Linked DNA regions of Lepisosteus oculatus. The protein of the gene in region 4 purifies or fractionates together with the protein of the main gene of each other region. This does not show direct contact. Links are inferred from orthologs where the notes say so. Each region holds a gene or a part of one and is shown on either strand. Other genes may lie near its edges.

Region 1 (7,445 bases), on a different chromosome or scaffold from region 4:
ATCCACACAGCTGAGTTGAAACAGCCTGAGTTCTTGTACTTAGTTAATTGCCGGTTCTTTTATACACAATTCTCTTTATTTCTTCAGACTGACTCCTGTCTCTTTAATCTCACATTCCACTGCCATGTGGAGGGGGTTTGTTCTCACTGGTTTCTTATTGTTCTCATTAATTCTTCAGTCTTGCTACAGGTTAATTTTGTTACAGTTCGTTACTCATAAACACCAAACTGCTTCAGCTGGTGTGTATATTACATACACCTAACAAGCATTTTTTTTAATCAGCTTTACCCAAAGAGTTGTGGGTGAATGGTGCAAGTTGTCCAAACAAGTCTCTAGACACAACACAATGAGATCTGTGTCTATTAGCGACTATCTACCTATCAATTTACTGTCTTCTATGATTCTATGCTTTCTATGCTAACTGGCTGAAAAGCTTATCAAAAGAACAAGTTCTAACCTGGACCCCCTGGAGGTAGTGGCTGAAAGGAGAATGGTGTCCAAATTAATGGCCATCATGGACAGCGTCTCCCATCCCCTCTATGACATGCTTGTGAGAACGAAGAACACGTTCAGCAGTAGGCTGATCCAACCACATGCGACAGGGGGCGCTACAGGGGGTAATTTCCTGCCTTCTGCCATCAGACTGTGCAACTCCTCCACTGTGTGTCTGGGCAGGGGCAACATTGACCTGTTTTTGGGAATGAAAATGAATTTCTCTGTTTACAGCTGGTTTTCCTCTTTCCAACTGATTTGTGTGCAATATATGCTTTGTGTAATATATTTATAATGTGCAATATATCTTTTTGTATACTGTACATTCTGGTTTGTCTTACATCTCCTGTAATGTGAGCAATTCTATATACTCCATTTTTAAAAAGGTTTTACTGCACTTCTCACTGACTGTACTTACTGTATTGTTGTAATATTGTATCATTCGTTACATTGTCCTGTGGTAACAGTGCCAGTCTGCTGGTGCACTGCAATTTCCCTCAGGGGATTAATAAAGTATCCTGAAGAGAGTTCTGTTGTATATAAGAACAACGTCCTTCTTTCAGATTTGATATAAATCAGTTGCAATGACTACATTCTTTTAACCCCGGTTGCTTCTAAATCAAAAACACAGATTAAGCACAGGCACATCAGTACAAATACGTTGTTTCTTCAGACCTTGGACTGTATATTTTTTCATGCATTCTTGATCTTACCTATATTTCATTCTCTCTCATTTCATAATTACGATATGCATCGGGTTTAAAGAACTGACCTTCTTTAGAGATTTTTAATAAGGGGTAAGAAGTTTTTAGGTCTAAGTGGCTGCAGTAAAGGTCAAGAACCTCTGCTTTCTTTATTATGGGCTTTTTAAGAGAAACGATTCCTTCTCTCCTGCTCCCTCTGCTGGACAGCTGTGGTCTCTGCTCCCTGAGCCTTGTCCTGGTTGAGCTGTAGCCTTACAAACAGGGACATACTTTTCTATCGGACCTGTCCAGCACTTAACTTGGCGAGGTACACTTGAATAATTTGAAACAGCGGTTAGCCGCTTACAGCCACTTGGTCAGAAGAGGAGCTGTGTGTGATTTAAGTCAGGGTGAATTTGAATCGAGCACAGGATACACTTTACACAGAATTGGGGGAAGTAAACAGCAGACTGATGGACAATTTTAACGTTCATCCTAACAAGCTTCTCGAATTTAAGCACATCGGAACGACAAGCGAGAATTATACGATATTGCTTAAAGAACCAAGTGGGAAATGTTTTTTGTTTTTTTTTATTAAATCAATCAAATCCAAGTTATTTTAGTGCCATTGCACTATATTGTCTATTTCCACGGTTTGAAGCAAGAAGGAAGAAATCATGATTGCTCTTTTACGGACTCTGTGGGTGGCTCTTAAAAGAGCCTTTGGGTTCGCTGATCCGGGACGGGCGGGCCGGGTTTACTTGGAGCTGGTGTACTTGGTGACGGCCTTGGTGCCCTCGGACACGGCGTGCTTGGCCAGCTCTCCGGGCAGCAGCAGGCGCACGGCGGTCTGGATCTCCCGGGAGGTGATGGTGGAGCGCTTGTTGTAGTGCGCCAGGCGGGAGGCCTCGCCGGCGATGCGCTCGAAGATGTCGCTGACGAACGAGTTCATGATGCCCATGGCCTTCGACGAGATGCCGGTGTCCGGGTGCACCTGCTTCAGCACCTTGTACACGTAGATGGCGTAGCTCTCCTTCCTGGTCTTTCTGCGCTTTTTGCCGCCCTTCCCGGCCGTCTTGGTCACGGCTTTCTTGGAGCCCTTCTTGGGAGCGGATTTCGCTGGTTCAGGCATCTTCTCAAATTACGTACTGCGTACAAAATGATGAAACTCACGCCTCCTGCAGCCCCCTATTTATAGCGGCTGTATGCAAATCATCTCGCTCAGCTGAGAAGGAGGCTCATTGGTCAGCTAGAGAGCTGCTCTCCTATTGGCTGCGCTCTGCGCCAATGAAATTCAAACGGCTGAGCGCCTGAGCCGCTCGCTCTGACTCCAGGCGCCTCTCTCTCCCCTCCGCCCGAGCACTCAGGAACAAAGGGCCGTGCGATCCGTTTTGCACTACGTGCAGATTTTCTGAAATCCGACTCTCATGCCGTTTATATCCCCTATCCTAGAAAACAATGTGCTTGGCGTAAACTGTGCGATTTGTGCAAACTTGGGAGTCAAAAGCCCGCTCGCTCTGATTCCAAGCTACTAGGACAGCAACTTTGCTGCAGTTTGCGCTCCGAGGTGCACTAACAGCCCTGACCTCTAATTGTGTATTTTGTTTTTAAATCTCACGATTCAGTCGCCTTATATTTTCTCATATTTGTGACTGAGATAGTTCGATCATCATAAGAGCTGATTGTTTTGAAGCAAATCCAAAAGTAATTTAATTTTCATGGGAGAAAAAAGGACCTTTGTTATTGGGGAGTGCGCTTATACACTAACCTATTTTAAAAGATCTTCACTATCAACTCAATAGCGTGTTTTTTTTAAGTAAATAAAATAAACAGTACCAATTCATGTATTAATAGTTTTTATTTAAGGTCTAAAATTAACTATCGTTCCACTGATATGTATTTCTGCTCCGCTAAACGCAGATGGTCTTAACAGCATTAATCTAATTCATATGAAATGCAATCTAGGTACCACTGCAAAGATTTTCCTTTTCACTTTAAAAAATAAAGGCTGATATGCAAACCAACAGTACATCCTTTAAGTGGGACACAATCCTCAATCAAGTCACCTGATATATTTTGTCATACATGTAAGAATTCATCTGCATTTAATTTTTTTTTTTTAATTGTGTGCATGATAAAGGATGTGTAGGGGATAAATACACCGGAACTCTTGAAGTTATCATTTAAAGCTGCTTAGCCCGTTTATTTGTTGATTCACTCATATAAAATCAAAAACCTTTCCGTTTTAACGCCTCTTTTTCGGAGCCGGTTTTCTGGGCGCCTTCTTCGCCGCCCTGCCTTTCACAGCTGGGCTCTTGCCCTTATCAGCGCCTCGCCTGTCTGCGACCTTCGTGGGTTTCTGCCCGGTGGGCACCTTGCCCGCGGCTCCGGCCGGCTTGTTGGTCCTGCCATGACGCCCCGCCGGCTTAGTCTTTGCGGCGGCCTGTCTGTGTCCCTCCGCCCCCCGCTTCGCGGCTTTCCGTGCCCGCTCCGTCGTCGCCGCCGCCGCTGCCGGCTTCGCCCTCCTCTCCCTGGCCGGGTTGAGCGCGAAGGAGCCCGTCGCGCCTCTGCCCCCGGTCTGCACCAGCGTCTCCCGCCGCACCAGGCCCCTGACCGCCGCGGCGACCCGCGTGTCGTTCCTCTCCACGTCGTAGCCGCCGGACGCCAGGACCTTCCTCAGCTCCGCCATGCACAGGCCGCCCCGCTGCTTCGACGCGGCCACCACCCGGAGGATGAGCGCGGAGACGCTGCCGCCGCCGCCGCTCCCTCTCTTCCCGGCCTGGGCGCCAGCCGCCGCCGCCGGCCTCTTGTTCTTCAACCCGCCGACCGCGGTTTCTGGCAAAAAGGAAGTGAGAACGACATTAGGCGAGAGGGCGGTGTCTAGACATCGTTTTCACTCTTTCCAAAACTGCACAGGCGCTGTGACGGAACACCACGGCATCATAATGAATTAAAATGACAGCGAGAGGCGCGGGTGTTTTGTTTATGTCAGCCGTGCTCAGGGGCGGCCGGCTGGGATTGGGGGGGTCACACTGACTGGGCGCGGCGCCGGCGGCCTCCGGGCCTTCGTCCCGCAGCGCCTTCTTGAGCAGCCGGCCGAGGCGCTTGGCTCCGGCCTTGCCGAGTCCCCGGCCGCCCGGCTCCCTCCCGGACATAGTGTTTCTGGAAAAGCGTCAGCCGAACGGACAGAGCCCAGAGCTCCGTTGGCAGACATGGAAATGTCCCGTCGCTCCCAGTGAGGCAGCGCTGCCGCCGGCAACGTCTCTCTCCGTCCGTTAGGGGATTTGTTTCCGAACTGCGGTTGCCTGGCGACGGAGGGTCCCGCGTGCTGGTGCCCAGGTGAGATGTATTTTTCTTTACGCCGGGACACCTGCAGTTGATAACTGCACCCCGAGCCACAGCGCCTACCTGAGGCTTTTGGGAGCCTTAATAATATAACTTTCATAATGCATGAGAGACAAATCAAGACTAAATAAAGACCTATTTCTGACTGTTTATAGAAGCATTTTACCTCTATGTACATGTACACTCTAGGTCTTTATTTTTTTCATTGGGTTTTTCTTTTAAATGATTATTATTAATTATTATTGTTAGTTTCCCGATATGTTCAGTGTCTTGGATTCACTCCACCCTGCTGACCGGAATTTATTTCCTTAGGTTAATTCTTAGTTTCAGGTACAAGAGTTCTGTGGTTTACAACAGCTTGCTACAGCGAACCTTTGTAAATATGTTTGTCTTAATGTTTTTTTTTTGTTTCAGAACCCTAAATTGTAACTCTAACAGATCTTTTCCCACTTTTAATTGAGTGTGCACAGATAGTACAATCCAGGATCATCCAAATAAAGAAAGTTCGTACGTGCCGGCGGTCTCAGTTCTGTTAAAATAACTTAATGACTGAATTTATACTTTTGTGTTCAGTTCAATCTTCTGATCAACGTTGTTGAACAAAGCAGCAGCAAGTTATAACCCCCCAAGTTAGTGAGAGTATCTACGTACGTCTTTTAATCTAATGCATGAAATATTTTTCGTATTAATGTATTTGAAAAACGTGCTGCCTTCAAAACCTTTGCCTATTAATACCCGCCTCGTCTCTTGCCAAAACTGTTAGTTTGAGCTCTTACAAACCACTTCAGCTTATTAATGGCCGGCCTTTGGAGCGCGAGAGGTTAAAAAAAGGCTCTTAATACGTCACGGAGACCCGCTCTATACCGGCGTGTGTTTTGGTAAGCGCTCTGCGTGATGTCATAAAGGATGCGACGGAAATAGCTCTCTCTGCTAAGCGACGGAAACACGTGCCAGTCTTTGCGCACATTTCTCGTTTTCGTTCGTGCTACTACGGCTGCATGTGCCCGGACTTTTAATACTTTAGAGCTGGATGATTCGCCTTTTACAAACCAGTGAGTTTTCTTTTTACTTAAAGATATAAAAAATCGAGGGACACAGGAGGGTGGGGGGAGAGAAATCTTGACTGTGCGGTTAAAGTCCTGTTACGATTGTAAACGGATTCTTGTAAAACTTCAATACGAAATCGAACTATTGAGATGTTTATTTACTACCGCCGTATCCTCGTTAAAACATTAAGTGAAACGATAGTAGTAAAGAAGAAGTGTTAAGACATAGAAAAGGTAAGGTAATAAAAAAAAACCCTGCCCCGATCAAATTTAACTTAGTGGCCTGTAGATTGATTAGTGATCGGAGGAGGATTTCTTTAAAAACGCTATGGAAATGTGTTCGCTTTTAGTCAGCAACTAAAATTAAAACGAAGTACTGTTACTAGAAGCTGAAGTACTAGTACCCCGTGAAATTGTGATAGAGGTAAACCAGATTCCTATCGTGCAGCGGTTTCATCACAGTAGCCTGCAACCTATCAAATGTGAAATGTTGTTGGTATTTTAATAATTGATTTAGACATCTGATATCGCTTTGCTTTTTCTTGTAGATTGCAGGTTTGTAGACGTTCTAGTTATTTCTCTCTGAACTACATCTGTTAAACAGTGTTTTCTTTTTCTTAACCAGACGGATTTTATTTGTAAGAAATATCAAGCCATGCGAATCTGTAGGATTTCCAGTATTCGAAGTTTTGCTTTGCAGGATCTGTCATGTTACGTTCGAGATCATATGTCTAAATTCATTTTATTTTCGTTTGTATAGGCTGTGATTGGTTAATTTAGAGGTCAGTCATGGGGCGGAAGTTAGATCCCACCAATAAGCAGAAGCGAGGGCCAGGACGAAAGGCCAGAAAGCAGAAGGGTGCAGAGACAGAGATTCCCAACTTCTTGCTGGAGGGTAAGCAGCCATCCTGATCATTATGACTGTGATGTACTGGGTGGACTAACATGAGCTCCACCTGCTTAGACTCCCACTGACAGAGCAGGCTGGACTGGACTGACTGGACTGGGAGCTGGATGAGTTCTTTACTGGGATTATAATCAGACTCACACTGACACTGACAGAGCAGTCTGAGACTCTCCAGGCTGGACTGGACTGACTGGACTGTGAACTGGCTCAATTGTTAACATATTACTCTACCAGTATTAGTATTATTATGTCAGAGTCACTTCAGTGTGAGATGTGAGACAGTTGTTTTAAATAAAATAATCACTAATATAATTTGAAAATGTGTTCCCTTTTTTAGGTGATAGTGCGTCTAAAAGACTTGGAAGCAGAGCAAGGAAACGGTAGGAAATATCATCACCACTACTGTTCTTGGTATTTTAAATTGCTGTTCCCCTGCTTCTTGCAAGTTGTGATTGTTGCTATTGTTACTTCTCCATAGTGCTGTGAAGCGTTCTGTTCCCACCTCCCAGCCTAAGAAGCCTGAAAAATCAGAAATAGAACCAAAACAGACAAAGAAAGGTAATCAAATCTTAATGCTTAAAACAATGTCTGCTGAATAAACAAAATGTATTAGTTGTGTTTCTAGGGTCTATATTAGGGTCTGTATGAATCTCTGTGTGTGAGGAGTGTCTCTAGGGTCTATAGTAGGCTCTGTATTATTCTCTGTGTGTGAGGTGTGTCTCTAGGGTCTATAGTAGGCTCTGTATTAATCTGTGTGTGTGAGGTGTGTCTCTAGGGTCTATAGTAGGCTCTGTATTATTCTCTGTGTGTGAGGTGTGTCTCTAGGGTCTATAGTAGGGTCTGTATTAATCAATTTGACTTACTCAGGCTTCAGCGATGAGAACAGCGAGTGGTTGAAGCCAGCGAAGCGGAAGCGTCCCGTGGCTCAGTCCGACAGCGAGTGCGATTCGGAGGCTGAGGAAGAGGAGGTGC
Region 2 (7,291 bases), on a different chromosome or scaffold from region 4:
GTAAGAGATGACCAGTATGTGTTGGTGGCCAGCTTGGATAACGTCAGAAGCCTTTCCAACATCTTAAAAGCCATCAGTTTCAAAGACCACTCTCTCTTCACAGCCACACCTAATGGGCTAAAAGTTACCGTGGAAGACTCCAAGTGCTTGCAAGCCAATGCTTTTATACAGGTTAGTGCCATCGTGAATTTATAAAAATACATGTTGATGTAACATGCTTCTACATGAAGTGCCTGGTGTCAGGGGAAAAGTTTAGAAACATAATGTGGACAAATATTTTTTTGTTTCATTGATGCAATTTTTTTCGTCTTTTGTGATTATTAATATACATAGTTTAAAGGAATTAAGAATGAATATGTATTTCATTAGTACTGTATATGTCTGCATACTGTAGTTAGCAGGACTTTTTCTTTTTTTAGGCTGAGATCTTCCAGGATTACTTCATAAAGGAAGACTCAGTTGGATTCACAGTTAACTTGACTGTCCTCTTAGACTGCCTCACCATCTTTGGAGGAAATGTTGTGCCAGGTATTGCTCTTTAAAAAAAATGTTAGTATAAAAATATCGTTGTTTTTTTCTCTTATTGAAGAGAGCTATTGTTTACTTGGAAAAAATATTCCAGTTTTCTATGGATAAAGATTTTTTCACTTATCACTACTGATTTTTTTTTACTTTTGTGCTTTTTGGATGAAAGGAGTTACAACTGCTTTGCGGATGTGCTATGGTGGCTATGGCTACCCCCTGACCTTGTTCCTTGAAGAAGAGGGAGTGGTAACAGTGTGCAAAATAAACACCATGGAGCCGGAGGATCCTATTGACTTTGACTTCTGTAGCACCAACGTCACCAACAAAGTGATTCTGCAGTCAGACAGCCTGCGGGAGGCCTTCTCTGAGCTTGACATGACCAGCGAGGTCTTGCAAATCACTATGTCCCCAGATAAACCTTATTTTAGGTGAGTGGAAGTTCTGTGTAGGTACACATTAAAGAAATGTAGATGATATACAAGGAAAAACCCAAACCTCGAAGAAAGATTCAACACAGAACAGCAACTCCTTGCATTAAATTTTCAATAACTACTTTTTTGTGTTTTTTTTATTTTCATACAATTGCTTATTGGTTTAATTTTTTAAGGGATGGTTAATGTGTGTTCCATCCACAAATCAGTAGAACGTGATGTCAAAATTAGATTTCCATAATATTTTGTTTATCTGCGCGTTCAAACATAATGACTTAACATTTACTCTGGAATATGAGAATTACCCTCTGATTGTGTGAATACAAGGAAGAGTCCATTGCTGACACCTTGATAGCGTTGATTTAACTGAAACCAACTTAAGTACTATGTCAAGATTCCTAAACTTATCTGCAGTTAGTTTTTGTAAATATTCTGCTGTGAATATTAATTCTTTAGAAAGATGTAAGGGTTGGGAAGCTTATTCCACATGATTTTAAGATTAGACTCGGAAAGCTGGACTATTAAAAAGTACCACACATGCATTATTTATCACTGCTACTGGTAGTGCTAAGTGGTAGTAACAAGTCAGGTAACAAGCAGCTCAGTCAGGATCATAGCTCATGTACTGTATGCTTTATGCTATACCATCACATGCTTAAGTCTGAAAATTTTGTAAACATCAGTCAAACATTCTTGAAGTATGCCTTCTGTAGCCTTGTTGTCCATAACACAGCATGCATGTTATTAGTCACATGGTATTCTGTTCACTGAAAACAAAGTTTATTTTGCCATCTCAAACATTTTGTAACTTAAGTAACAGTGGAAGTATTCCCTAACATTTTCTGTTTTTCACCAATACATAGACTATCTACGTTTGGGAATGCAGGAAGTGCCCACTATGACTATCCAAAGGACTCGGACATGATGGAGTTCTTTCAGTGTAGCCAAACACAGACAAACAGGTCAGCGGACCCCTTCCATCCTGGTTATTTTGGCCTACCCAACATTTAAGGTTTAGATAAAATTATTTGTTAGTCTAAAGTGTAATTTTCTAAATTGTTCAGTCTTTTTGTTATGCAAATAATCTAAATACTCAGAAATTTACAACTTGTTTTTCACATTGCAAGAGCTACGAACTGCCTTCCATGACAAAGTGAGAACTCTGCAAATTAAGTGTGATGAGAAATGCATTAGGTTTAATAATCTCAACTATTTTATCTAAATTGACAGATCAGAAAGATGACAAAGCAGTGTCTCTCTACTCAGTGTTACATTTATTGTAGTATTTTATATGTATTGTATTAATACAGTAATTAAGGCTAGGGTGCCGGTAGTACTACACCCTTTTAATAAAGGACATAAAAATGATAATTGATAGTACAATCATTTGTTGACTACATAATTATGGAAAAATGTAAAGCAGTAAGGTTATTTTTGTGCACTGAAGAATAACTAGTTTCAAGTGGCTTTGTAGTATACATTTCATTTGGAGGTTCTATGGTTAGTAAAATCCATAAAGATTATATGGATTGGAACATTAAATGAAAACAGTTTAAATTGGTTTACCATAACAGAATTGTTTTTTTTTACTTTAAAGGAGAGGCATAGAGCTAAAAGATGTTGTTAAAACCACACTAATAGAATATGAATAATATCTCTGACAGAGTTGAGTAACTGAAGTCCTAATAACAGTTTTCACAGTCCTGCTTCTAGCCTTCCTCTGTCCTGAACAGATCCAGTGTTCAGTCATTATCCAGCACACTCAGTATGAAAGCTGATGGCGTAGTCATGGGAGTTTTACCAACATGATAGGATAACGGTAGATTTTTTTCACCCTTTTGATGAGCTTTTTGTTGTCTTTGCAGGTATAAAATGTCCTTATTAAAACCTTCCACCAAAGCGCTGGCCCTGTCCTGCAAGGTCTCAGTGCGGATGGACAATCGTGGGTTCCTCTCTCTGCAGTACCTGGTGAGAAATGAAGACGGCCAAATCTGCTTTGTGGAGTATTACTGTTGTCCAGATGAGGAAGTTGAGGAACCTGGAACATAGTAGTCTATTTATTCCTTTTCTTTTAGCCCTGCAAAGTTCTTTTCCTGATTCTGTTCATTGTGTTGTTTTCAAAGATATTGCTGTCATATTTTTCCAATTGTAAATCTCTTCATGGCAGTGGTGATTCAAGCAAATTGTAAAGTTATGTTTCACTTAAAATATTTTTGTATAAAAAAACGCTGAAATAAAAAAGTCTTAATTTTTGCAAACTCTTTGTGAGGTTTAAATTGCACTAAACAACCCAGCAAGTATCATCAGGGTTGCCAGCTGTCCTGGCTTGTCCTTTTCTCCTGGAAACATGGATCTGAACAATGTGGGAGAAAAAAATATATGACCTGGCTCTTCAGCCAAAGGGGAAATTACTCAATTTTTGTACATCAGACTAACATCCAAAAGAAACCTACATAGACCATAATAAAGAGAATATAGAGTTGACAGAATACAGAGTTAATTTAGCCAGCAGCCATATCACCCTGCAACTCACAACTGGCAATCCCCTGAAGCTAAGCAGGTGTGAGCCTGATCAGTACCTGGATGGGTACTGCTGGAAGAGGTGTTAGTGGGACCAGTATGGAGTGCTCACCCTGCAGTCTGTGTGGGTCCTAATACCCCAGCATAGTGATAGGGACACCATACTGTCAAAAAGGCGTCGTCCTTCAGATGAAATGTAAAACCGAGGTCCTGACTCCATGGTCATGAAAAACCCATGGAGTCGAGTGTTTCTCGAAAAGGGTAGCAGTCTTAACCCTATTGTCCTGGCCAAATTTGCCTCTGGCCTTTGCCAATCATGGCCTAATAATCTCCATCTATAAAATGATTTCATTATACTCCCCACTGATAGTTATGTGTGGTGAGCGTACCATGTACACTGTGGCTGCCATCACATCATCCAGGTGAGTGCTACACATTGGCAATGGAGGGGAGTCCCCATTGCCTGTAAAGCCCTTTCAGTGGAGTGTCCAGAAAAGCTCTATATAAGTGTAAGGAATATTATTTATTATAACCTTCAAAAACATTTCATAATCTGAAAATTCTATAATTTTTCATAATAATAAAAATACCTACAAATATGATTAGGTAATAATAAGCTGTTCTTTGCTTTTCAACACATTTACAAACATTTAAGTTCAACATTTGAACAGGAACATAAAAAGGGAGAAAAGCACTAGGTGTGCAATATTTCGTTTGTAAGAACTGTGTCCTCCGATTCGGATGGTGGCGCACGTTCTTCTCGTTAACATTTTTTCTAGAGCGTCCAAGCCTTCTATCGTTGGTAAGCGTCCGCGTCCACTTCCTCTAAAATGGGTGCCTTCAAGAGAAAACGTGGAGTAGATGCCGGAGCCGGGAAAACTGGAAAAAAAGTTAAATTTTCTGAAAATGACAAACGAAAACAGAAATCTGGTCCTGACCAGGAGCCAAACAAAGAAATTAGCATTCCAGCACCGGTTTCTATGGTATGTATAGCACATGAGGACAGACTTTATTGCTTTGTCTATGAGTTGTATGCAGTTGTTTGCAATTGCTGCACTCTTTAACAACGCTCCCATCAATTCGTATTTAGCAAAGGATGCTTAGGTTATTTTTGTACTTAATTTGGATTAATTACATGCAGTTTTTAGTCTATTTCCATGTTCAGAGTGAATCTAAGTAAGAGAAACATAGCTGTTCCATTTTACTCCAGCCAAGTTTGCGTGTTCGGTGCTCTAAGTTAATTCAGAAATATTGTTTGCGTAATAAATCTATACGCTCTTTGTGATTTTATAAATGTTTCAACCGTTTATTATTTATTATTAGCCATTTACTTGAAATAGTTATGTTTCTCAATTTTCTATAGACGTAATCATAAGTATAAAAAGTCTAATTTCTGCTTCAGCATCAGAGGCAGCATGGATAACAAGTTTCCCCTTGTTTTACTTTAGGGTAAGTGGACGAACAAAGAAAGGGTTCTCTTGTTTTCCTCCAGAGGTGTCGACTTCAGAACCAGGCACCTTATGAATGATCTGAGGACATTGATGCCTCACACAAAGCCAGGTAAGCGTTCAGCCAGTGAGTGTAGCCAGTTTCTTTCACAATAAGGCTCCTCAGTCAGCTGTTGAAGATCGTGTACATACCTCAGTAATCTTTAGGTAAAAAGCCAGCTTCAACATTTTAAATTTCTTCCAGTAATATTTTAATGTGACATTTCATTCCAGATACAAAAATGGATCGAAAGGATAAACTGTTTGTTGTAAATGAGGTAAGTCTATGCTTGTCTTTCAGGTTGTCTGTAGTTTTGTCACATTAATTTCTCAAACGTCTGCGTGATAGGAAAAGATAAATGAGGGTTTTGCACAAAAAACTTGGGACTGAATCCAAGTGTAATCACAGATTATTAGCCTGGTGATGATGACATTGTTTTGCCAGACACTTTTTGTCTCTCACCAATTGAAAACGAGCAGAAAGGAATTATAACTTATGAAATTAATTGATACCAACTATTAAAGATGAAAAGTAACTTAGTACTTATTCAGATGAACCATATGAAATACGGACCAAATAGGTCTTGGAAAAAGCACTCAATTCAGTTGTTAATGAAATGCAGTGTATGAAATTATTTTGTTAGTATTTGTTTAAGAAAAGTAGTAGAATGTCTGGGTGTTCTCGTCTTTCTTCTTTGACAGTATTGTAGATGCAGTTGAAACCTGTACTTTATTACCTGAAAGAATGTTGTGATGCTTCACAGCAGAGCACGATATGAGTGTAGTTACATATTCCATTTGTGCTTGAGTCTTAGTTTTTCACTGAAAAACATTTAAACTTGATGTCTTCCAGGTTTGTGAAATCAAAAATTGCAACAAGTGTATCTTTTTTGAAGCCAAAAAGAAACAGGACCTCTATTTGTGGTGAGTACTCAGCTGATTCGATTGAAAGTTATTTTGTGAATTTTCTTTATGACAAATGACTAGTAGTATTACTGAGTAAATGTATATTGCTGGGTTGTTTGACTGTATTTTACTTTTTAAGGTTTTCCAATGTTCCACACGGACCTTCAGCCAAGTTTTTGGTTCAAAACAGTAAGTAAAAGCATCTGAAGGACTCTTTTGGGGATTAATGGATAATTCAAACCTTAAAGCATCAAAAACAATTTAAATTTGTAAAGGGTTTGTTAAATATCTGATGTTGTAATTTGACATGCAACTACATCACACTTCTTGGGCAACTGTTGAATCTCTGTGAAGAATTGACAGTTTTTTCAGTCACCTTCACTGATGTAGACTTGAGGGAATGAGAATTTCTATTATGTTTTACAATCCATACTGGAGTTGAGGTTACGTATAGTTTTCATTGTGGTTTTGCAGTTCATTTGTTTTAATAAAATGATCTGTAAAAATGCGAGGTGCCTGCCTGTGCGTGTTCTCCTGCATGTTCCTTGTGTGCAGTCACAGGAACCACAGCTGTTTCATTCCTTGTTTTTTTCCCTTTTCCTTCAAGTTCACACTCTGGCGGAGCTGAAGATGACTGGAAACTGCCTGAAAGGATCAAGGCCCCTGCTGTCATTTGACCCTGTAAGCAAACACCAGCGAAACTTAACATCTTCAACATTTTAAAGTTAAAGTCCTTTGGGATACTATATAACTTTTTTTGCCTTTTCCATCAGAAGTTTGATAAAGAGCCACACTATGCGCTGCTGAAGGAGTTGTTCATCCAGGTAGGCATGATTTGGACTTTATAATTATCTTCGCTGCTGATTTCAATGTTTTTGTTCTCTCTTCCTGCTTTTGAAACTACCATGACAATCATGATATTCTGTCTTTCATAATAAAGCCTCAGATGTCTGAGGACATTACCACTAGCCTGAATATATTTTTTTGGTATCAATAAAACTTGGAGACCATTAAAATTTAGAATAGGCAGTCAAAACACTAAGGTAGAAATAACAGAACGGTGGATTTTGAGCCATTTTTTTGTTTTTTGTCGATAAGATTTCAGGGATTAAATATCTTTGAGTTGAATTGTTTAACTAAGAAAACACATGATCAGAAAATGCAAAAATTAGTAAGCTTACCATTGATGTTTGTTGTAGTTCAGTGTGTTGCTGTTTATTCAGCTTTTGTACACATTACATTTATTTTTTTTCCCAATTATTCCCGGTTGGTTTAGATTTTCGCTACCCCTCAGTACCACCCAAAGAGCCAGCCATTTGTAGACCACGTCTTTTCTTTCACGATAGCAGATAACAGGATATGGTTCCGTAATTATCAGGTGAGTACAGGAGACTTTTGTTTTCTGGTTCTGTTAGATCTCAA
Region 3 (7,097 bases), on a different chromosome or scaffold from region 4:
CACAGTGCTGAACTTCCCCAGATTCAGCACACTCTCCTCCACCTGGTGACAGAAAACACACGTGCAAACATCTCGGAATTTAAAATCGCAAGTCACACAAGCCCTGGGAACTCAGCACGCTGTACAGGGGGCTCTCAGCTGCTGGATCCTTAATTGTGAACATTAAAAGCCTGACGCCGAATACTTTAGAACACCAGGGATGCTAAAATTGACCGCAAACATTAACCTTCTACTTTAAGTGCTTTATAAATCTGAAATCCTACCCAACACCTCTGCCCCTCACACCCATGAGTCATGCAGTAAGCAGTTATGGTAAAAACCACAAGCAACATTTTCTGCACAGAACAAGGGTATGTGTCCGACCACAGGGCAGAGCTGCACTGCAGTGGTCTCTAGCCCATGGATAATGACAGTCTCAGGCTACATGTGGAGGACAAACACCCTCACCCGAGTGTCATTATGATTGGGGCGGGGTCAAAGGGCAGGGCCTCACCTGGGGCAGCAGCATGCCGATCTCCTCCACCTCCTTGACGGCGAACAGCGCGTACCCCGCCGCATGTTCGAACAGCACGTGTAGCAGCACCTGCGGAGAGAGGGCCGGGGGTGAGGCCACACGCCACGGGCCAGCAGGCAGCAGCAGCAGCACCGGTGTCCCGGCTCCGTCCGAGCTCCTGACATCTCCCTACACTCGCTGGAACAAGCAGGTCTGGCGCCCCCTTCTGACCCGCCAGCGCATCTCCCAGCTGGGCTGCGAACCTCAGTGTGAATCACCTCCCCTCTATATTCAGACGCACCCTGGAAATAACGAAGTGCAAGACCAGCCTGCTCCACATTACACCACGCAGCAGCGTGCCTTTAAAACCCCCGTCTCTGCTTTACTTCCCCGGTGAAGAGCTTGGAGATGAAAAGCACTGTAAGGGCAGCGACAGCCGCTGCCTATCTGTACAGGAGGGCGCGCAGAGGCCTAGACAAGCCGCAGGATTGAGCTGTAATTCATGGTGACAGATCTCAGGGGGAGTCCTCCAACACAAACTGTCGGTATTAACCGACACCTTGGTGTACTACAGAGTCAAGACACGATCCACATCAAAAGAGACCGGGACAGAAAGCGGAAGAACTACTGATTAACATAAGAACAAAAAACTACAAATGCGTGTTCATGCTGCGTGTTAACGGGACTCATCCCCTTCCTCGTGATATCAGAGGTACTGCAGAAAGGAAGACTATTTTGTCATTCAAGTAGGCAGCCGTGTCAGCATGCGCAGGCTGCAGAAGAACAAGGCAAAGGTTGTTCCCTTCTGAAAAGAGAAGATCGATTCACCGCGGAGCCACCAAAGAAGGCTCCACAGCCGAAACGTAACTTCTCTTTTCAGCAGCAAATAACCCTTTACTTGTTCCCATTTTGTCATTTCCCAGTAGCACCGCGGTCGCCAGAGGGCACTGCGCTTTTAGTCCAACGACAGCGAGGTTTTTCCCGTGTAAAAAAGAAAAGCGCGAACTATTTCATTCTGTAAGGCCTCTCTCTCATGGCCGCACCGCGCCGGAACCACGTGGGTCCGGCATCACGGCGTGCTCAACCCCCGCACTCAGACCCCGGGAAAGAGGCTTGAATTCTGCCTGTCAGGATCGTACACCGCCGAGAGACGCCATGAAAACACTCCTCGGTTCATTCGGTTTTTTTTGGGGGGGGGAAGAGAGGAATTGTACCAGAAACTCGCCCCTGGAGGCGCTTCAGAGGAAACCGCTCGGGTCCGCGTCGCCACGTGCGCGCCCCGCTCCCCCCCACCACGTGGCGACGGGACGGAGGCCCGCGCCAGAACCCCCCCGCAACAAGCGCCTCGTGTTGCGTACCCCAGGTCCTTCTCCAGCCCTGACGGGCCCAGGATGGTGCAGCAGCAGCCCCGCCACCGCCGCTCCCGAGCGAGAGGGCAACACGTGGGCCGGCGCCAGCTCCGAGCACGAGCCGGGCTCCAGAGCGCGCGCGGTGCAGGGGTTTTAACTGCGGCTCTTTCCCAGCACTGTGACTTCCCCGGCCCGTGCCCCGCGTCAGATATCGTTTTCTGTTCCTGGGGCCTAGCTGCAGCCCCGAGCAGCTGTGAGCTAGCATGCAACTAACCGAAGATCTGCAGAAATCTGATAAAAAATATTGATTTTTTCATCCATATGTAACTTCCCACAGATACAGCTATTTCATACTACTTATTACACCGCTACCGAGTACTGCTTTGCAACAGCAACACCCTGACTGGGGCCACTGTTCCAGACTGCGTGTGACCCGCATCTCCGCCGGCTACGTCTAAAGAGCCAGAAAACGTATTTTCCGTCAGTTCCTTCGCACAAGCAATACCTCCACTGTATTGCCTCACTGAAAAGCACCTGCTGACTCGGTCTGCGCAGTGAAGTTATTTTCTTCCCCACACGTGCAGTCTTACCATTGCTGTTCCCTCGGCGCAGCTCCGTCCTCTCGTGCTGCCTGTTCTCCTTCCCAAGGTGCTCTGCGCGCCGCCCCACCTCGCTTTCGTGCCCGAGCCCGCCCCCTGGCTCTTCGAAGTATCGCGAGAACAAGAGCTGGGGGAGGGGAGGGTGGAGAGATGGGTTTCCATGGCGCCATCTGCTGTACGTTTACCGTCACATCCTTTCGCCCTGACTGAAGAGCGAGATTTTGGACAGATCCTATGCTAAAAAATTGAATATATGCAACACTAAAAAAAAACCACGCACCTGGTTGAAATTCCACCAGGACGCCGGTCTCTTTCTGCAGTCTTAATTCTGAAAGACAACTGAAAGTCACACACACAGCAAAGCATACAGATGCACAAAACGTATTTCCCTGCAGCTCCAATTCGTGTGTTGATTGGTGTGTTTGTAGACTGCCTACTGCCTATAATAATAATAATAATAATAATAATAATAATAATAATAATAAATAAAGTAATTGCTAGCTCTCAGCACAGGGGCTCAATGCCCACCCTGGGGTGCTGTCTGTCTGGGGTTCATATGTTCTCCTCGTGTTCATGTGGGGCTTCCTCCAGGTGCTCTGGTTTCCTTCCACTGTCCAAAGCCATGCTGGCAGGTGACTGGACGTCCAGGACACTTGTCCGCGGTGTGTGTGGGCGTGAGCCTGGACTCGTGGCTGACGGCGTGCGGGAGTGAGTCCCCGCTGCAGACACAGCTGTCACCCCTCGCGTGACAAACTCTGCCCCCATTACCCCCTGCCTGGGAGCAGGAGCTGTGACGCACTGGCGTTTATCCAGGGGAGGGCGAGCCGTGTGCTGTCTGATCACTTCACGCCTGGGAAACAGGATAAGATCTGATCTGATGAGCCTCTGTGTGGCTTGATTGTTCCTCGCAATCCCACGGCTTTCTAGACGAATGCAATCACTGCATGTTCTGTTTCATTGGGTAAACACCTGGCCCGCTGGCTGGGGGCACCCACCCCTGTCCTCACAGGCCACTGTCCCGCAGGTTAGAGAGACCCTCAAACCCAACTTCTTAAGGACAAAGAGAGGCTCCAGCACCTCTAATTAAGCAATTAATGAGTTCAATTTGGTCATTTTTATTTATTTATTTTATTTTATATTTATTTTTTATTACTGTACGTATTCTAATTTTTTGTCTATCCTGATGTCTGTTCGTTTTGCTTGTTTTGGGCTGCTGTAACACATCAATTTCCCTTCGGGATCAATAAAGTCTTATCTGTCTCTTAAGATGTCAAGGGGCAGGAAAACAAGAACTCTTCCGGCCCTGAAGTACTGCAGCTATGCAGCCCTGCCTACACCTGAAGAAGGCTCCACGGCTGAAACGTTGGGCTTTTCTTTCTTTTCTTTTCAGCGGGGAATAAACCTTTACTTGTTCCTTTGCAGCCTATACCCGCTGACGCAGGGAGCCACCTGAACTACTTCAACCTAAACCTGCTGCGACCCACTATGCCCTCCTCCAAATCTTTTTCTAGATCTCTTCGTCATTCCTTCTCTTCCTCCCTGGGCCTGGCCCTGGGCCCTCTCTTACTAAACCAGCTTGCTCACACCCGAAGAAGGCTCCACGGCCGAAACGTTGTGTTTTCTTTCTTCTCTGTTCGGCAGGGAAAAAACGTTTACTCGTTCATTAAGAGTCTGCTCTGAACAGCTCCCACCAGGTGATAGATTTAAGCATGAACAGACACGGGCGGTCATTTCTCTTCTGGGGAGGTCCACTCGGTTACTTTTCAGGCGGCAGACGTGAATCAGGGAAGTTGTGAAATTTGCACAGGTTGATACCGGGTATTTGAATGGGAGTAAAATTGTGCACAGGGTTAAGAACATTGGGACATAAAACAGATTACAAATGAGAGGAGCTGTTCACCATTCACTTGGTGGTAGGTAATTGACCCAAGGGTCTCAGTCAGTTGTTTCCAGAAAGAAGCAAGGCGTCCGCTTCAACCACATGGCTGGGTAGCTTGGTCCACACTCCCACAATCCCCTGCTGACTGAGCTAGCTAAATAGCATTTCGTTATACCATACACCTGTGTATGAGCAGAATGAAAATAAACTTTAAATTGATGCTAGGTGTAATACCATTAATCTCTTTCAAGATTTGAGAGCAAATGTATAAAACTGTCCCAGTTAGAGAATTTATATCACAACAGGAAAGACACCTGTGCACAGAGCAGCAGCAGCTCAGCTGTTTACAGTGTCTGTCTGTTAGGAGCACCAGTGAACAGCTGCAGTATTACAGCACTACATGTTTACTCGCACAGGGCTGTAAGCACTGATTCATGAACTCATATCTTTCGGTGTAAGTTTAAAACATTCCATCCTGTCCCCTATCTGGTAACATCACTCTACCTTCTTGTCTTAAAAGTGCATTATACTTTGCTCAAAGAACAAATATATTCAGTTTTTTGGAACTATAGTCAACAGTCCAACAAGCATTACTGCCCTCTAACCCAGGGGCCTCAGACTCAGTTCCTGATGAATGTAGTGTCTTCCGGATTTTGTTCCCCTCACGGTCTCAGTTACGAAGCTGGTCTAAATACCTAATTAGCCGGATAATTGCTAAGAATTCTGACGAGGCTGGGGTGAATTTCAGGCGACTGCCATTTGAACGAAGTGGAAAGTTTTGTGAATGACGTTCAGAAAAACCATTGTCCAGTATATGTCATTCAGAAAAGAATGAGTTTACTCTCATTTGACTGCTCATAATGGAACCATACCTCACCCTAACCCTGCAGAAGACCCCGCTTTGAGATCTGTAATCGAAAAGCACTTTGACCCAAGACACTTCAAACAACAGCAGCCAGTCCCTGGAATAATGTGTACAGAGCGAACAGAAACTATCCCCTTGGTAACGGAGGGTGTTTCCGGTTGTGTGATTAAATCCGTCCTGCTCGACTCCTACACTTCTCACTGTTGTTGCGACTTTTCTTCTCTCTTTTGCCTTCGGTGTTAAACATTGGCCAGCTCGTCAGCCCCCAGAGTTCCCCTCTGATTTCATGTGGATCAATAAAAGCTTATTAGAGTGGTCACTACAAAATGAATCCTTACAGCTGCGATAGAGCAGAGAGCAAGTTACCAGTCAGACACACACGGGTATTTATATGGTCTGCTGTTTGCGCTGTTCCAAAGTCAAATAAATTAATGTTCAGTTTGGGGGAAAACGCGCAAGAAAGCTGGAAAAGAACAGAAAATGCCGTTCCACGCTCCTGGAAACTGCATTGTGGTCACCACTGGCAAATCATCGAGTTTGAATTTCAACGTGTAGCAAGCAGGGGGTATTGAAATAAATACACAGAACAAACACACAAAAAAAAAACGACGCGGCGGTACTGCAATGAGTTCAGATCAAAAAGGTGCGGTTGCTTTCTCGCTTTTCTCCCGTTTAGTGTGCATCTTTTCCTGGAGGATATGTGGGATGCGGAACAGTCTTGCTGGATCAGAGGAGGAGCGCGGACTGACTTCTCTACGGGACGTGACTTTTTACATAGTTTCGCCATCGCTGTCATCGCCCGTGTTTTCTCAAACCCCTCTTCCGGAGCTCCCGTCAGCATATAGCGGCACGGTTAAAATGTCATAAACCTGGACAGCTTATACAGGTTTAAGAAGGCGTGCCCGGAAGAGCTTTGTGTTCACCGGTTGGGTCGGCGAGGAGGTGAGACGCGATCACTTACGTTTGGAGACTCTCCAGAGACAAGATCCCCCTGTAAAGGTGTGTAATCAAGGTCTTGTCTCGCCCCTCATGTTCTCTGTGTTTTAAAACGGACCTGTGACGTGAAACAAAATAAATCAGACGCGATACAAATGTAAGTTTTATTACAGGAGGCGTTCTGTTGAATTCCTAATTAATACAGGGGTTAACATGTATTGCTGGGTTAGAGATTTAGACTGCTTCCCTCGACACTCTGCGACATTATATCAGATGTAATAACTGGTTTGAGGAACATTAGGGACCACCTATACCTCCTACCTGGATACGGACTAGTTACCAGGCTCATGTGTGCTTTTCCTGGGCTTACTGTACGTGGGGTGTGGTAAGAAACCGCAGAAATCTCTCCTCCGTGAACACGAAACAAATCTTTATTTTTAAACGCAGTCAGCAGCGACATAAATGGCAGGACAGGGGGTGGCAAAGCGTACAGTTCAACGAAGTTCAAAGCGTACAACTGGAGATGCCCCTCAGACACGTAGGCGTGGGTAGTCCAGGGTTCAGTTTGACTGAAGCACGGTACAGAGCGCTTCAACAGCTGATGGAGAGAGGAAGGTGTTTTCTAAATCAAAGAGCTGTCAATTAACTCATGCCAAGGAAGCCTTCATCTAGTATTTAGAGTGGCCCCACACGCCCCTCCATCATAGAGGTGAGACAGACGAACCCCGGACCGCGAGTGTTAAGGGGGCGAGGGGGGTCTGCTCCCGGTAATTGACAGTCAGTCTGTGTGACACAGCGCCGCCTGCTGGCCGGAGATGCCACTGTTCCGTGGGCCTCAGTGGCAGAGGGAGAAGGCCGAGAAAGGCCGGAGCAGAGGGCAGGTGCGCACCCTGGTCAGGCTGTGCCTCGTCAGCCTGGCGGACAACATGAGGGAGCTGTGGGCCCGGGACTACGCCGAGAACTACATGGACAGCTA
Region 4 (7,260 bases):
CATTTTTATGATCCTGTCTTCTCCAACTTGATAAAAGTTCTAGACTAAACTTTTGTAAGGTTTGATAAAGGAAGTAACATTTCTGTAATCAAATCAAGTCAAGAGACAATACTCTCTCACCCTGATCTCCCTGGTTCTCTTATATGTGTCCTTTTCGTCTGTCTTCTCAAACAAGCACACTGTCCCCGGCCCAGCTGCACAGGCAAACCCCTTGGAATAGGCAGTTATGGCTGAGACATGAGGAAGAGAGGTGGACATTGGCTCATCCAGCATGCTTTTTTCCACTGACCTAACAAGCAAAAACAGAAGTTTGTAACTGCATGCATTTTATGTTTTTACATTATAAGTGTGAAAGTTAACATATTATTTGTCGCTTTAATGCGCATTTATTGTTGAAGGTGGATGGATGAACACACAAGATGGATGAACAGGCATTGTTAATCTGTTGTCATAATAATCTCTGTACACAACACAAATGTATCAAGAAGAACTGGGGACTCATACAGTACTTGGCATAAATGAAATACTTCTCTTGTTCCTAATATCAACCTGTGTTCATATGATGCCATTGATTCCAAGTGCTTTACTTTGGAAATTTAAACTTTCGGTTATTTAACTTCCTGATTCAAGTGTACACATTTCTGACACATGGATGTAATTGGTGGCATAAACAGCAGAAGATTCAGTCAACATTTTCATTGCAAATTTCTGAGGTCCCTTAAGAAACGTCTGTACTACATATTTAAGAGGAGCATCAGTGAACAGCTTAGAAACAGTTGTTGTTTGTCTCTCCAGCCTCCCTCTCTCACTGTACCTGTCAGTATCTCTAGTGGTTAACTTTGGCACCACACTCATCTCCCAGCGCAGATCTCCTGACTCAAACACCAGGAGCCTCCCGGTCTCTGTGCCGACAATAACTCTCTCATCCGACACCCACATGTGGGACAGGAAGTTGTGAGCCTCCAGCTTCTGGAAGTTGGATTGTTTGAGGGTTCCTTCAGCATAGCGGAAGAGTTTAAACACCCCATTTCCACTCACGCAGATCTGTGTGTTGTCCTGAGGATTAAAACTAACCTTAGGAAATAAAAGAAATGTGTATTTTAAAACATTAATAGCTCCTTTTTGTTTTTTCACTTACAGATAGACAAATCAAAATAACTCATTAGTTTAAACCTAATGATTAAAAGAAATTAGTCACCACTGTCTACACTTACATTGATATTTCAATTAATAAAAAGTTACATTAACCCATTTAACTTGTGGTCAACAGTGTATGTTCAAATTACATAAATCCAACACATCCACTCACAATCATGTCTTTTTTGAGTTTAAGACTGTTTTCATCACTTTTTCTTCATGCCTCAGGTTTTTAAAAGGGTTTTGTTTTTTTATCCACCCTCATGCAATTTATCTTTATTAGCTTCCACTGGTGGCAAAGTCAGTAGAAACTCAAGAAGGACTATAAGGTGGCCATCTAAACTAGTCGCGTGCAAACTTAAACCCTGTTTTGTTCAGTACCTGGGAGATAGGGTTAGTTGTGGTGCCAGTCTTCACTGTGGCCATCACCTTTTGTTTCTCCCACATCCAGTAGAACAGGGTCCAGTCTGGAGCCCCCGATTGGCCAATGAGGTATTTGGAGTCTGGAGAGAAAGCCATGTAGACAAAGTCCTGCACTGGGGAGTCCCCCCCACTCAGGACTTTCCTCTTCCTGCTCTGCTCATGCTGCAGGTCGTACACAGTGATGGTGCCTTTCTCGCCTCTCTCTGACACGGCCAGGTAGCGGCGGTTGGAGCTAATGGCCAGGGCTTGCATGCCATGGCTTCTCTCTGTGCCTGCAGAGCATAGTAGCACTGATGGTTAACAGTCTCCACATTATCGGTTATTGTTCTGTTAAACGTGACAGACATGCAAAAGAGTTCCAAATCTGTTTGAAATGTGATGCTAAATATTATAAATAGGGGGATTTTAAATGTAGGGTCCTTATACAAAGGTGTTATTTGTATATACTAGACACTAATTATTATGTTAATTAATGAATGTTAATTGTATACTAGTTGCAATAATTATTACACATAAAATTAATAAAATGCTGTCTATAGTCAAGTTTGGCCACGTGTTATAAACTGTTATACAGTTTAAAGGTGGCATAATAACGAGGAGACAAACTTAAAACACATACAAAGATTAAGTTATAATTCAAATATACAAGACACACAAACTAGTATCTACAAAATATTTACAGTTTATGAGTCCCTGAGTCAAGACATTCCACAGCCTAAAGTTCCCTCTCTTCAAAGGCGGACCCACACGAACGCAAACCAAGCAAGACACAACACAGCTGTTAAGGAAAGTCTCCCCTGGAACATTTTTTTGAATTCTTGAATTAGGTCAACTCATAGTCTTCTCTATTTCAGGGTATAAGGTTTTACTTCTTTTAGACCTTTAGAGTAGGATAATCTTCTGAATACAGGTATGTAGCTGATCACTCTTCTCTGTATTCAGTCCAGAGAGGCAATACCTCTTTTGTATCATATTAACCTAAGTTATGCACCCATTCTAAGTGTTACTAGTGTATTGTACAACTTTAACATTACAGCACATCATTTAAATTTTATAACTATAACTCTATGTTCTTAAATATATATACTAACATTCTGTTTGCCTGTTTATTGTCTAGAAGTGTCTGTCACATCGTACAAAAATCCATAAGTATGTTTTATAGGCAGCTTCATGTTTTCCATTTTAATTTATGGTTTATGTCTTTGGTATCTGCATGTAACACTCTGTAGTTGTCTACATTAGATGTCATCTACTAGATGTTTGTTCAGACTTGAATTCCATCTGAATCTTTTTAAATTTCCTTTTCACTTTCTTCTGTTTTTGCTAATCCTCCTGTTTTGATGTCTGTGAATTTCAGTATTTTACTATGTATGCCAGAATCTAGATCATTGATACAAACTAGTCAGCATAGTGCTCCGAACACAGACCTCTATGGCACTCTACGAATTATATCCATCCAATTGGCACATTCACACACCTTATATCTAATATTATATGTTTGTTTCATTTGCAAGAAAAATATTCTTAATGCTTCTTTAGATAATTAGAACAGAATTAACCACAGACCGTTCCTTAAAATCAAAGATACCGAGTTCCCATATTGAGGTCCACAATCTAAAAAGACAACACAATATAGTCAATTTATGGAGATGCATTTTCTTACCTGGAATAAACTTCTGCCATTTCTGGTCAATGTTGTAGCGCACACAGTTGTTTCCAGATGGGAAGATGACAGTTTGCTCATCAAAGTACAGGAGATTATTGGTCACCCCGGCCCGGAGACCGAAGATGTGATGAGACTGAATAACAACCGCAGACATTGTTCAGCGATTGCTCGCCCTGCGAGTCACTTGGCGGACCTGCTAATACAAGATCCAATTCTACAAATCCCATAAGCCAAAAATGCATTGTGCTCAATTAAAATGCAATATCGATTCAGTGAAAAACTATACTCTCATTCGCCGCATTTTAAAATAACTTTATCATATTTTACCAATATATTTAATTTAATATTAAATATTTATTTATTCCAGGCACTAATAGAAAGATAATTGTTGATACCGGTACATTATTTTAGTTTTTATCATTTTAATTAGCTAGAAATGTCCTACTCTAAGTGTTGTACAAAGTTTTTGCCTTAACGCGAAAAAAGTCACAACGGATATATAAAAGCTTAAGTCATTATCAATATTTAAAAATCCTTTTTTGGTATATTTCTTTACACTTTTGACTCTTTAACGTATATGTTGTGTTTTTTAAACTTCAGAAGTCCTTAATTCGTCGCTTCTTTAAAAAAAAATATGTTGACACCTACCAACACTTGTGTCTGCAGCGAGCCCAGTTTGCAGTCCCGCTAACATTGTTTACCGGTTACCAAGGGGACAGAAAGTGTCAAGTTCACGTGTTACTGTGACAACGAATGCTCCCAGACATCTTTACGGCAGTGATGTGTACCGGGAATTGTAGTGAAGTTCTCTTTTAGTTCCCAAATTTAATAAATGTAGAATTTGCTCAGTCGATTTATCAATAAATAAAGGAAACATTGAATTTGATATTTTTATATTTATTATATTTTAACACTTACTGATTATTAATCAACTATAAAACGGAGAAATTAATTCATAGCTTCATAACATTTGCGGAACGTTTCTTTCAAGCACTCCTCATCCAGGGCAGAATTGCGTGCGTACTTGGTCTCCACTTCCTCTTGTGCTCCATGTGTCCATGCGAGTGAGCTGCAACACGCTGAGGAGTTTTAATTTTCAGATTTGCTTGCATTTGTTGACTGTAAGATGGAGGATGTTGAAGATGATTTACAGTTAGGCTTCGAGTCCGAGGAAGAAGACGCCGATTTATCGGATGGAGAGGTGAGCACGCGCTTTTAAATCCGGTCTTTATTTTTGTCCATATCAGTACAGTTTATTACTGTAGTAATATGTTAAAAGTTGTGTTCATTTCTTCTCCTTAAACGTTTTTCCCCCAAACACGCGAGGAGCTCTATTATAGTTTTATAAGTCTGCATTATTTAGTAAGTATTTTAAACTATTATAGGTCTGGATAGCTATCGATACAGTTTATCTTTCGTTTTGAGTTTTTCCACTAAGACATATGTCTCATTGAGCTCTAAGGTCTGTTGTATTTATTTAAAAGGCTTAATTTAAAATCAAAAGTAAGCCCTTAACGGTATTAATTGTCTTTATATGTTTAGCTCCAGGAAGCCTTCTCCAAGGGGGAGCTGAAGCCTGGATTAAACATTCCTCTACAGGAAAAGAAGATCGTTAACAATATGGTGAGTCTTGTTTCCTTGTTTGTTTGGGTTCTTAAAACTTGTAGGACGAGGAGACATTGACAGTTTTATATGGGAGTTGTTACAATGTTTTCGTTTGTCAAATGTGTTACTGGTGCTGAAGTTTCTCACTAAACCAAATGTCTTGGAATTCTCTAAACTGAAGCCCACTTGTCTTTGTGTTCATAGGAAGGTCTGAAGCAGTGCTTGTCCGAGCTGCGAAAGAAATTACCCTGGTTGGAACGGCTGGATTTGACCAGTTTGCCAGCGCCTGACATTGTGGCTAAAGCAGAAGGGAGGCCAGTAGCAGAGGAGAGTGGGGAGATCAATGCAGAGGATGACTTCCAGAGAGAGATGTTCTTGTAAGCCCGCAAAAGCCTTTATTCACCACAGTATGCAAAGAGTTGCCATTTTGCAGATTGGAACTTTAAAGGGTTGAGATTTTTGCCTCTAATGCTGAAATATGAATTAAGCCCTTTTTCATCAGTTAGGCTACAAAAATGACTCACTTATTAGTTATCTCCCTTGTATATTAAATAATCTTGAGTACATCAGTAATGCTGTGGCTTGTGCACTCATTAAAATTATTCTGCATCAGCATTCTTTTGTACATATCACTGGCTTCCTGTAAAATGTGGAGTGGACTGTAAGGTTGTCCTGATCGTGTATAAGGTACTAAAGACAGCCTTCTCGCAATGAGCCACAATGTCTGTGGAACTCCCTGCCTCGATCTATTGGAGAGACTAGACTGCAACTGTCAACATCTTGGAACAGGCTTATATATACACCCTTGCCTTTGCTGGGTCTTTATTTTTTTTAAGCTCATGAGTCAAGTTATATTGCTATTATGTTTTACTTTCCCATGTGTACATATAGACGTACGTAATGAAGATAAATGCCAAGGCAAGCTTCCTCAAAAAATCTTGAGACACCAAGAGAAAAACAGTGGATAAACGCATGTTTCTTGTGTTATTGTGGGAAGTATTCATCACACTTTTTTTTCTCATTGCCTGTTTTTCCTCAATGTATTTTAGCTATCGTCAGGCCCAAGCTTCTGTGCTGGAAGCATTACCACGGTTGCACAAATTGAAGATTGCTACCAAGAGACCAGAGGATTATTTTGCTGAAATGGCCAAATCTGACCAGCAAATGCAAAAGGTTGGTCCCACATACTGACGCATGAGACACAGAGAGATTATTAGTGGATTTAAAATAAACTTGGGGGCTCCTAATGCAGTCTGTTACAGGCAATTTGTCTTTTCCAGCAAATGGTTTAGCATCTTAATCAGTCTGTAGCATAGACAAAAATGCTAAATTCTCTTCTGTTGTTGAATTTGACATTTCAAAACGGCGTGAAGTCTTTACAAAATCTGTCAAGTGCGTTCGTGTTTCACATCTGTATCCAAGTGTGTTAAAGCTGGTATGAATTCGCATTTGAAAAAAATTGTATTGAACTAACTCCTTTGAACGAGATCTGATTTTTGTGTGATGTATATCCTGTACATCTTCTCTTGTAGATTAGAACAAAATTGCTGGCCAAACAGACAGCAATGGAGAGGTCTGAGAAAGCCAAGAAACTCCGAGAGCAGCGGAAATATGGCAAAAAGGTAAGTCAGTGGGTTCTGCTGTCTACCTGTAAGGACTGTCTCCTTCCACAGTTGTTTACTCATACCTTGCATGTTTTATGACCTGCATGAATTGTACAAATGAAAGTGTAATAGATCTTCATCCTACTTATTATGGTTTGTACAAACTGAGGGTTCTCACTTTTGAATTAAGCTTTTAAAGTTGGTCATTGTTTGGTGATTTGTGGGGATCTGTTTTTCTGAATTATCGGTGTGTTGTAGGTTCAGACGGAGGTGCTGCAGAAAAGACAGAAGGCGAAGAAAGCCATGATGACTGCAGTAAAGAAATACCAGAAAGGTACAGTGGGCTTACACAAAGGATGAGGATACTAACGCAAGGTTTTAGACTGGTTTTAGATACCAGTCCATGACTTTACCTTAATATGCTTGTCTTATTGTGCTATAATAATACATTTCTAAAAGACGGCAAATAAGAGACTTTCAGATTCAGTTCAATTATTTTCTTGTGAGTGGAAAATAATGTCAAGTGATTTTACTGTTCCTTCCATTTTCTGTAGAAAAACAAGTGAAGCTGAAGGGGACTGTAATACTACTGTAGGTAAAAACTGTTTTTTAATCTTGATGCGTAATGTACAGCAAATTCTTACTCTACAGGAATGACCGACAAGCTTGATTTCCTGGATGGTGACCAGGAAAAAGGCAAGAAAGGGGATAGCCTATCAAAGCCAGTCATGAATCAACGAGGGTAAGAGCTCTCCTTTTTTTTTTCTTCATCAGTCTAACCTTACAACTTGGGTACTTCCCGTGAGATCTGTAGATAATCTCTTG

Evidence for each region.
Region 1: the proteins of ebna1bp2 (region 4) and nop2 fractionate together in Homo sapiens (co-fractionation; 3 studies listed by BioGRID and IntAct, with this or other methods). This does not show direct contact. The link is inferred for Lepisosteus oculatus from reciprocal best matches to the Homo sapiens genes EBNA1BP2 and NOP2.
Region 2: the proteins of ebna1bp2 (region 4) and bxdc2 purify together in Homo sapiens (affinity purification with mass spectrometry; 4 studies listed by BioGRID and IntAct, counting the BioPlex papers as one, with this or other methods). This does not show direct contact. The link is inferred for Lepisosteus oculatus from reciprocal best matches to the Homo sapiens genes EBNA1BP2 and BRIX1.
Region 3: the proteins of ebna1bp2 (region 4) and nop56 purify together in Homo sapiens (affinity purification with mass spectrometry; 4 studies listed by BioGRID and IntAct, with this or other methods). This does not show direct contact. The link is inferred for Lepisosteus oculatus from reciprocal best matches to the Homo sapiens genes EBNA1BP2 and NOP56.

The regions. Positions count from the first base shown.
Region 1 is NC_090718.1:3,596,956-3,604,400, forward strand, and holds the start of nop2 (28S rRNA (cytosine(4447)-C(5))-methyltransferase), read left to right. Parts: upstream 1-4,424; 5' UTR 4,425-4,514; intron 4,515-5,455; exon of another isoform or gene 5,456-5,572; intron 5,573-6,326; 5' UTR 6,327-6,355; coding exon 6,356-6,461; intron 6,462-6,810; coding exon 6,811-6,853; intron 6,854-6,951; coding exon 6,952-7,031; intron 7,032-7,340; coding exon 7,341-7,445. Other genes in the region: histone H2B 1/2, read right to left, coding at 1,933-2,307; histone H1.2-like, read right to left, coding at 3,421-4,010, 4,213-4,330. UniProt on the Homo sapiens protein: S-adenosyl-L-methionine-dependent methyltransferase that specifically methylates the C(5) position of cytosine 4447 in 28S rRNA. Required for efficient rRNA processing and 60S ribosomal subunit biogenesis.
Region 2 is NC_090698.1:20,699,786-20,707,076, reverse strand, and holds the start of bxdc2 (ribosome biogenesis protein BRX1 homolog), read left to right. Parts: upstream 1-4,277; 5' UTR 4,278-4,306; coding exon 4,307-4,459; intron 4,460-4,924; coding exon 4,925-5,036; intron 5,037-5,197; coding exon 5,198-5,241; intron 5,242-5,816; coding exon 5,817-5,887; intron 5,888-6,008; coding exon 6,009-6,058; intron 6,059-6,476; coding exon 6,477-6,550; intron 6,551-6,642; coding exon 6,643-6,693; intron 6,694-7,145; coding exon 7,146-7,247; intron 7,248-7,291. Other genes in the region: cell cycle checkpoint protein RAD1, read left to right, coding at 1-171, 420-528, 695-953, 1,820-1,918, 2,822-3,005. UniProt on the Homo sapiens protein: Required for biogenesis of the 60S ribosomal subunit.
Region 3 is NC_090698.1:69,131,533-69,138,629, reverse strand, and holds the start of nop56 (nucleolar protein 56), read right to left. Parts: upstream 2,998-7,097; coding exon 2,970-2,997; intron 2,770-2,969; coding exon 2,722-2,769; intron 2,648-2,721; coding exon 2,433-2,647; intron 584-2,432; coding exon 494-583; intron 43-493; coding exon 1-42. Other genes in the region: uncharacterized protein, read left to right, coding at 6,937-7,097. UniProt on the Homo sapiens protein: Involved in the early to middle stages of 60S ribosomal subunit biogenesis. Required for the biogenesis of box C/D snoRNAs such U3, U8 and U14 snoRNAs. Part of the small subunit (SSU) processome, first precursor of the small eukaryotic ribosomal subunit.
Region 4 is NC_090704.1:14,769,394-14,776,653, reverse strand, and holds the start of ebna1bp2 (probable rRNA-processing protein EBP2), read left to right. Parts: upstream 1-4,247; 5' UTR 4,248-4,352; coding exon 4,353-4,427; intron 4,428-4,768; coding exon 4,769-4,849; intron 4,850-5,035; coding exon 5,036-5,208; intron 5,209-5,880; coding exon 5,881-6,004; intron 6,005-6,363; coding exon 6,364-6,453; intron 6,454-6,693; coding exon 6,694-6,769; intron 6,770-7,086; coding exon 7,087-7,177; intron 7,178-7,260. Other genes in the region: cfap57 (cilia- and flagella-associated protein 57), read right to left, coding at 121-289, 815-1,074, 1,519-1,832, 3,224-3,380. UniProt on the Homo sapiens protein: Required for the processing of the 27S pre-rRNA.